Linked DNA regions of Caenorhabditis elegans. The protein of the gene in region 2 interacts with the protein of the main gene of each other region in a pairwise test. Each region holds a gene or a part of one and is shown on either strand. Other genes may lie near its edges.

Region 1 (6,185 bases), on a different chromosome or scaffold from region 2:
ATCAATAATTATAGGTTCCTTCATATACACTTTATTTTAACTTCCTCTATATTTTTCAGCCAAAAAAAACACCAAGTGGTCCCAACCATTCATCCATCCAAGTCAAATGTGCACACCCATCTCTTTTCGGTTTACACTCTGTCTGTTTCTCTAAATCTCTCATTCTTCATCATTGTCTCTCCTTCTTCTCCTTTCTCCATTCTTCTGGGTGCCTCTAGGCCTTTCTCGATTTTCCATTTCTTCACGTAGTTTTCTCCCAGTTTTTCCGTCGGTCTTTTTTCAACTTCAGAGAGTCTACTGATTCCTGTTTCTATTTTAAAGTGCTAGTGATAAATGTCTGAGAGATATTGGTCACATTTGACCTATTACATTCGGCTCGGTCAGATTGAAGTTTCAAGGAAATCAGAATATTTCATTTTTATATTCCAAGAATCTACTCAACCAGATGATTTATTATGTTCATTAAAAATAATAGGATTGGTTTCTCATTGATATATTATTCACCATCTGCCCTTTTTATCAAATCACAAAAAATCATTTTTATCTTTAATGTCTAACTGTAAGTACAAAAACGTGCAAAACTGAAAAACTTAAAATTGAAAGTAATTTTCGATTTTTTGTTCTTTTGATTTTTTAATCTTTGATCTTGAAAATTTTCCTCGACGTTTCTCGAATGTTCCTTCAAAAAATATTACCCATTATAATTTATGAGCTTTTTTCTTTCTCTATTTATTCCTATCGGGCCCGATATCGGGGAGGATTTTAGATTTTTTAAAAAATAATTTTATAGAACTTTTGAAGATACCTCTAAATGCCTACAATACTTACAAAATATGAAATAGTTTTTGTTTCTTTTCAAAATGCATAATCTCATTTATAAAAATGATTTATAAAACACAATTTACGGACTTTAATCCAAAATCGTATGTTTTCCATTGAAAAAGATAATATCTTCCGAATCTGGTTCTCGATCCTCGTAATTCTCTATTTACCCAACTCTTCTCTACACACAAATCACTGGATTATAGACTAAAAACCTAAAAATGCTCGAAATAGAAAACTTCTGCAGTTTGAATCTTAAAATTGTTCTAAAAGTGAATACGAATTTCATAAATCTCAATTATCAATTATCAGAAACAAATATTCAGAAAATAATTGGAAAACCTTTAATAATTTTCAATTATTACTTCTAATGGTCGTTTCAGAATGTTATTTTTAAAAATCGATTTCTTTTCACTGAGATCAAATTTACTTTTGGATCCATTTTTTACGAATGCATAATAAACATATTGTTATTACATCCAAAAATTTCCATAAAAAGCTCTCAGCTGACCAGCACGTGACGCATCTCGATGGAACAGAAATCAAACTGTTTATATGTTTGTTTGCTTCTCTTTTCTCTATCATCTGCTTTCAAGTATTCTTTCATTCGACACGTTCTCCCCCCGTTGTCGCTTTAATTCATGCTCGTTTTTTGTTGGGTGTGATTAGATGAGTAGTGTCTGGGCCTGACATAGAAAACAAGACCTTTGACTTGCCTTGAGTTCTGATACGATACCTGGTCTCAACGCGACCAAAAAATTTCAGCGCAAACAAGAGAGTGCGCCTTTAAAAAGTACGGTAGTTCTCCACGTCCAGTTTTTCCCAATTTCATAGATTTTACACTTTAAATCTTTTTCGCAACTAGGTAATATCGTTTTTTAAGAATAAAAACATCTACAGTAGGAAATCAAACAGAACCTTTTTTATCTGACTTACCTCAACTTTCTTTCTATCGTACAATGTTGGGTAGGCTTCCAACTCATCGAGCACCTTCAATTTCTTCTCGCAAACTTCATACATTTCTCCTTCAATGTTCTGAAAAAATTTGGATTAATTATTTACAAAATAGTTGTTTCAGTAGTCAAACTGGGCAAAATGACGATCGACACAACAAATGAGAGCGACAATAGTCCAACTAACTCACCAGGATTGGAGGTGGGATTTTTGAAAACAATTCTTTAACAAAATTAAATTTATTTAATTAAAATTCAATTAAACAAACTACAATTTTTACTTTCAAGGCCTCGGCTCGGACATTCTCGCTCAATGCGTCAAAAATGGTTCGGATAACCGACGACTACGCAGATGAAGTGTTCATTGAACAGAATGATGTCGTTATCGAGAAGCCTCGTATGGATCCTCTCCACGTTAGAAAACTTATGGAGACATGGCGCAAGGCTGCTCGCCGAGCAAGAACAAACTATATAGATCCATGGGATGAGTTCAACATCCACGAGTATCCAGTACAACGAGCTAAACGATATAGGTATTCTGCAATCAGAAAGCAATGGACAGAGGATATAGTCGATGTGAGACTTCATCCGGACAGTTTTGCACGTGGAGCCATGCGAGAATGCTACCGACTCAAAAAGTGCTCCAAGCACGGAACAAGTCAAGATTGGAGCAGCAACTATGTCGCAAAAAGATACATTTGTCAAGTCGATCGTAGAGTTCTTTTCGATGATGTCAGACTTCAGATGGATGCCAAATTATGGGCTGAAGAATATAATCGGTATAATCCACCGAAGAAAATTGATATTGTTCAAATGTGTGTCATTGAGATGATTGATGTAAAAGGTTCTCCACTCTATCATTTGGAGCATTTCATCGAGGGAAAATATATAAAATACAATTCAAACTCAGGATTTGTATCAAATGCAGCTCGTCTTACACCACAAGCATTTTCTCACTTCACCTTCGAACGTTCTGGTCATCAAATGATGGTTGTCGATATTCAAGGAGTTGGTGATCTTTACACAGATCCTCAGATTCATACAGTTGTGGGAACTGATTATGGAGATGGAAACCTCGGAACTCGTGGAATGGCTCTTTTCTTCCATTCACACAGATGTAACGATATTTGTGAGACAATGGATCTATCAAATTTCGAACTTTCGCCACCTGAAATCGAGGCTACCGAAGTTGCGATGGAAGTAGCTGCAAAGCAGAAAAAGTCATGCATAGTTCCTCCAACTGTGTTCGAAGCAAGAAGAAATCGAATTTCAAGTGAATGTGTACATGTCGAGCATGGTATTTCGATGGATCAATTGAGAAAAAGGAAGACGTTGAATCAATCGTCAACCGATTTGTCAGCAAAGGTGAAAGAAACATTTAAAAAAGTTCTAACGTATTCTATTTTTATATTTTTCAGAGTCACAACGAAGACTGTGTATGTCCTGAGTGTATTCCAGTTGTTGAGCAACTCTGTGAGCCTTGCTCCGAAGATGAAGAGGACGAAGAAGAAGACTATCCAAGAAGTGAAAAAAGTGGAAATAGTCAGAAAAGTCGACGTAGTAGAATGAGCATTTCAACGAGATCTTCTGGCGATGAATCAGCATCTCGTCCTAGAAAATGCGGATTTGTAGATTTAAACTCACTTCGTCAGAGACATGATAGCTTCAGAAGTTCTGTTGGGACATATTCTATGAATAGTTCTAGACAAACCAGAGACACTGAAAAGGATGAATTCTGGAAGGTTCTTCGAAAACAATCAGTTCCAGCAAACATTCTATCACTTCAACTTCAACAAATGGCTGCTAACCTGGAAAATGATGAAGACGTACCACAAGTCACCGGGCATCAGTTCTCTGTCCTCGGTCAGATTCATATTGATCTCTCACGATATCATGAGCTCGGGCGGTTCGTAGAAGTTGATTCAGAACATAAGGAAATGCTTGAGGGAAGTGAAAATGACGCTCGTGTACCAATCAAATACGACAAGCAGTCTGCAATTTTCCATTTGGATATCGCTCGGAAGTGTGGAATCCTTGAGGCTGTGCTAACATCGGCTCATATTGTTCTCGGATTACCACATGAATTGTTGAAAGAAGTCACCGTTGATGATCTGTTTCCTAATGGGTTTGGAGAACAGGAAAATGGAATTCGAGGTGAGCTTTTTTTGTTAATTTTTCTCTTTTAAATCTGAAATTCCAACTTTTCAGCTGATAAAGGACAAAAACCTTGTGGTAAGAATCAAGTTTTCTCGTGTGTGCTTTTTAAAAATTATTTTGTGATTTCCCAATTTAACCTTTCGTGTTGTTTCCTTTTTTGAAAGATTCAATCCTAGTGTTCTCAGCATCCCGTATTTTATCAAAATTCAAAAATTTTCAGACCTAGAAGAGTTCGGCTCCGATCTGATGGAAATTGCTGCAGAGATGGGTGATAAGGGTGCAATGCTGTACATGGCACACGCTTATGAAACTGGTCAGCATCTCGGACCGAATCGAAGAACGGATTATAAGAAATCGATTGATTGGTAAGAAATTTATGAGATTCTAGTGAAGATACAGTAACCCGACTTTATAGAGAATACTTTTAAGAAACCTAAAAAAGCTAAAATGTTTGATGCTATAGCTTCTAATTTTTTTTAATTGAAAATTTTTTCGAATAGCCGGAAAATTGAAAATCGAAAAAAAAGATTTAGAATGTAATTAACAGATTTGAAATTTCATCAAACTTTGTTTGTTTCGATGGAAATTTTTTTTCTTCTAAATAAAAATTTCAATTTACGAAAAAAAAAATCAAAAAACGAAGATTTTCGATTTTTTGAAATTTGAATTTTTGAACATTTAGGAAATTTGGAAATTGAAATTGAAATTTTTTAATCGAAAATTTTTTAAAATTCGAATAGAAGTACCCGTCTCTGATTCATTTTTTATAAGAAAAATTGTGAAAAACCAGAAAAACTAGGAACCTTCAAAAAATATGTTCAGAAAAAACTAAATCTACTTGTTGTATTTTTCAAAAAGAAAATCATATATGACCTATTTGCGATTTTTATTCTGGACTTCTTGGATGATTTTGTTCCTTAACATTTTTTCTATAAACTTGAGAAATATTCTAAATTTTGTAGGTATCAACGCGTCGTTGGATTCCAAGAAGAAGAAGAACTTGACTCTGATTGTGGAAAAACGACATTCTCCTCATTTGCTCCACTGACTCGTCACGAGATTCTAGCCAAAATGGCTGAAATGTACAAAGAGGGAGGTTATGGCCTGAATCAAGACTTCGAACGAGCATATGGTCTATTCAATGAAGCTGCTGAAGCAGCAATGGAAGCAATGAATGGAAAGCTCGCAAATAAATACTATGAAAAAGCGGAAATGTGTGGAGAATGATTCTTGAATTCCCCTTTCTTCAATCCTCAATGTATATCCTTTTTTCTGGTATAATGTACATTATTGTTTGTTTTTTTTTTCATATTAGTTAGTATCCCCATCCCCTACAATTTTTAGTTTCCCCCTGTCACAGTCCCCGGATTCAAGGAAAGAAAAAAATTTCAAAGATTTTGAATACCAAAAAAATTTCGGATCTAAACAAGTTTTTGGCATTTATACTCCCTTTAAACCGTGCGCATAATCATTTTTCTGTTTCTTTCTTTAAAATTTCCTTATTCATCTTTGTTTCCCTGCCAAAGCTGATTCCGTTCTCGTTCTTTTTTTTTAATTACTTGTCAATATGCTTCAAAGTACGTCGGTTTAAATAAACTTCAGGTTGTAAAACTCACATTTCCATTCCCAGCATCATCAAGCAAAAATGGAATGTTATATTTGGTTCCAACTACCAATGGGAACTTTTCCACTGTAGTTCCAGATGAGATGAATCTGAAAGAAGTAATGCATCACATTTGACACTCAAAATTCTTCAGTACTCCCGAACTTACCGATATTCTCCGTCAGTTTCTGACAGAACCTTGTAGTTTGGCTCTCCTGTTTTCAGGGTTCCATACACGAAAACCTTGAATTTTTCGCCCATTTTTGCTGGAAATGAATTAATAAATTACAGATTTTTTCATTATTTTAAGTTAATAAAAAAACATTTAAAAAAAATCTGTATTCATCAATCATTCGATATGTATATTTACACAATATGCCTTTCGGAAAAAAGAAGAAAAATACGCGTTTTTGTCTTGCCACGAAAGATTATTGATTGAAAAATGGCAAAAGGGTGTGGAAAAATCAATAAACTGAATGAGCACAAAATGGGGTTATCTCTTATCGGGATGGGGAAAAACTGAAGAAAAAAAAGGAAAATCGGTTCATAAATGGCCATAAAGTTTCTTATCACATTCCATCAAAAGCTTGTGCTCGTTGTCGTGGAGTTCCTCGCATACTCTGAAATTATAAGAAAATTATAATTGGAAA
Region 2 (2,721 bases):
AGGTTTCAATTCAGATGATTCGTGTGAACGTGAGTGAGAGTTGGAAGCTGATCTTTCTTCTCGATGGTGGAGCATCCGTGACTGTACATATCCCCAAGTGTCAATAGTGCCAAAGAGGGGCTCGGTGTCTTTATTAGCCGACACGAAAAGGAATAGTAATGCGGAGGCAAAAATGAGCACTTTCATTTCTAACGATGCATCTTCCTTTCCTCTGTTGTCTATATATACTGGGTTTTTGTTTAAAAAATAAAATTTATAATCTTGAAAAGGAAAACAAAAAAAGGCAATCAAGCCTAGAAAAAACAAATTCGGATGATTCAACATTGGTCCCAAAAGTTTTTGTTCTGCACAATAAGTTTTTGACAGATTTAATCATTTTCTTTTAAAAAACGTCGTTTTTAGATAAAATTATATAATCCAGAGAGCTTATGAAAATTGAACGGAGAATTCGAAAATACTGTAGCAAAACCAACATTGTTACTGATTTTGGGGGAAAAATTATGACTGTACGTTTTGGCTATTTCTCGTGATTTATGTAAATAAACAAAGTTCAGAGTTTCACAGAAAAAAATACATCATGTTGGTACTTTCCTGCATACGTTTATAAATAAGTTACACAACCAATACCATAAACAAGCAGAGAGAATACGGTGTTAGATTTTAAACAGGATGAAAGTACTACGAATCCATAAAATCTCTTGTTTTTTTCAAATTTAATACTGAAAAAGTTAGAGAGTCAAGTTAGTCATTTATTTCAGAATCACATTTATCTGAGTTCAGCAAATTGATTGAACTGAAAATTATCGTGTTATCTGCTTCTGTCGTGGCTTTCAGAAGTTGACGATATTTTTGGAAAATTTGCAGGTAGCTGCTGATTGGGTGGATTTGGTGAACTGTGTCTTCTCCCTTCGTGTGATTCGCTTGATCTTCTGATTGACCTATGTTGAGAAAAACCAAAGCCAGCAGGTTTCAAATCAGATGGCTCATGAGAGCGGGAGTTGGAGTTTGAAGCTGATCTGTTTTTTCGCGGATACGCCTTACTGGTAACATATCCATGGATGCTATCAATGCTTTCGTACTCCCACGAGGCTTCACGGTTATCTTTGTAATCATCGTAATCATCGGCGGACACAAAAAAGAATAATAAGGCAAAGGTGAAAAGGAGCAGTTTCATTTCTGACGGTACTTCTTTCTGTTACCTGCTTTTTATTTATACTTGTTCATTGTTTTTGTTATAAAATCTATATTCATGAAAAAGAAAGGAAACTGAAGGCGGGCGATCAAGTTCAAAAAGAAAAAAAATGTGATTAGGGTGAATCAACATTGGTCACAAAGGTTTTTGTTCTGCACTTTAAGTTTTTCTTGAAAGAAAAAAACTGAATACAAGGCGGAGCGAAACTTTTTTCAGTGAAAAAATAGAAACAAACTTTCGCAAAATATCTGATTTAGCTAGCTCATTCTTTCCAAAACTTGGACCACCTAAAAAAATTTTGAAATTTTTTTGAGGCTTCATTTTTGAAATTTTGGTGGAATTTTGGAAATTTTGGTGGAGTAGCGCCAGTGGGGAAATTGCTAAGAACCACTCCTTCGGTCCCAAAATGACCAAATATCATGATATAACATTTCAAAAAATTTTTGAAAATTTTTTATTTACTGTCAAAAAGTGGCAGTTACTCAGTTTTTGCCACTCATAGTTTTGGAAGTCAACCAGAAAAATTTTTTTTTCGACATTTTTTTTAAAATTTTGTTTAAATTATTTGTATTTAGAAGTTGTAGGGGTCGAAACATGCGGCATTTATTTAAATTACCTCAAAAGCTCGTATTTTTCAAAATGTTGGCAATTTGACACAACTTTGACCGGAAATTATGAAAATCTTAAATTTTTTGGAGTGTTTTATTATGATATTCGAATGTTTTGGATCATTATAAGTGCATTTAGACAAAATCCCCACTGGCGCTACTCCACCTTTAAGCGTATTTTAAATCAATAAGTTTAATTAAATAACTTTTTTAAAAACATATTTTAACCATATTTATCATCGCGAAAGAGAACCGTGAATAAAACAGAAGGGAGCAGTGATTATTATTTTCGGCGTTTGGTATTCTAGTCCGCATTACACCGGCGACTGGACCTGGTATGCTTTAAGAAAACGTTAATAACGTTTTGATATTTTTTAATCTTCAATGCGAGTTTTGTACAAATTTAAAGTTTTTAACATGACTTTAAATCTGTAAGTAGTCATTCAAAAATTAAAAAAAAATCTATTAATCTAAAAATCTAATTGTTTGAGCTATCAAGCAGGAAGCAAAACTGAAACTGAAACAACAGTAGTACTACATGCCATTTTTCAATTAAACTAACTAGAAGTTTATGTATTAAATATCAACCCATTATTCTGAAAGTCAACAAAACTGAACCAAGTTTTCATAAGGAATGTTGCATCCATCGACTCCATCGGTGAAGATACTTTCCGTATGGAACATTTTATGGCTAAACTTTTGCCCTGTAATGAGACAGTTCTAAAAAATTTCGAAGAAGTTGCTTCCAAGCATTCATTAAGACAGGTTTAAGTTATACAATAAGAATCAATTCAGAAATATACCAACACTTTATCAAAAATACAAGTTTCAATAACCAGATTGGGTATCTTGAGCTGGGTCTCCATAACCACTTTGCGCTGGTGGATCTTGAGCTGCTCCACCATAGGAATTTTGAGCTGG

Evidence for each region.
Region 1: the proteins of ZK813.2 (region 2) and efk-1 interact in a two-hybrid assay, tested with the Caenorhabditis elegans proteins (one large-scale study listed by BioGRID).

The regions. Positions count from the first base shown.
Region 1 is NC_003281.10:6,164,263-6,170,447, reverse strand, and holds efk-1 (Eukaryotic elongation factor 2 kinase), read left to right. Parts: upstream 1-1,900; 5' UTR 1,901-1,917; coding exon 1,918-1,977; intron 1,978-2,063; coding exon 2,064-3,140; intron 3,141-3,193; coding exon 3,194-3,929; intron 3,930-3,983; coding exon 3,984-4,007; intron 4,008-4,152; coding exon 4,153-4,297; intron 4,298-4,894; coding exon 4,895-5,159; 3' UTR 5,160-5,542; downstream 5,543-6,185. Other genes in the region: F42A10.9 (Gamma-glutamylcyclotransferase family protein), read right to left, coding at 1,759-1,857, 5,549-5,645, 5,705-5,796. UniProt on the Caenorhabditis elegans protein: Phosphorylates elongation factor-2 (eEF-2) at two threonine residues that are conserved in all eukaryotes and are located within a GTP-binding domain. Calcium(2+)/calmodulin dependent activity.
Region 2 is NC_003284.9:3,442,279-3,444,999, reverse strand, and holds ZK813.2 (Neuropeptide-Like Protein), read right to left. Parts: upstream 1,175-2,721; coding exon 809-1,174; downstream 1-808. Other genes in the region: ZK813.7 (Neuropeptide-Like Protein), read right to left, coding at 1-186; ZK813.3 (FIP (Fungus-Induced Protein) Related), read right to left, coding at 2,629-2,721.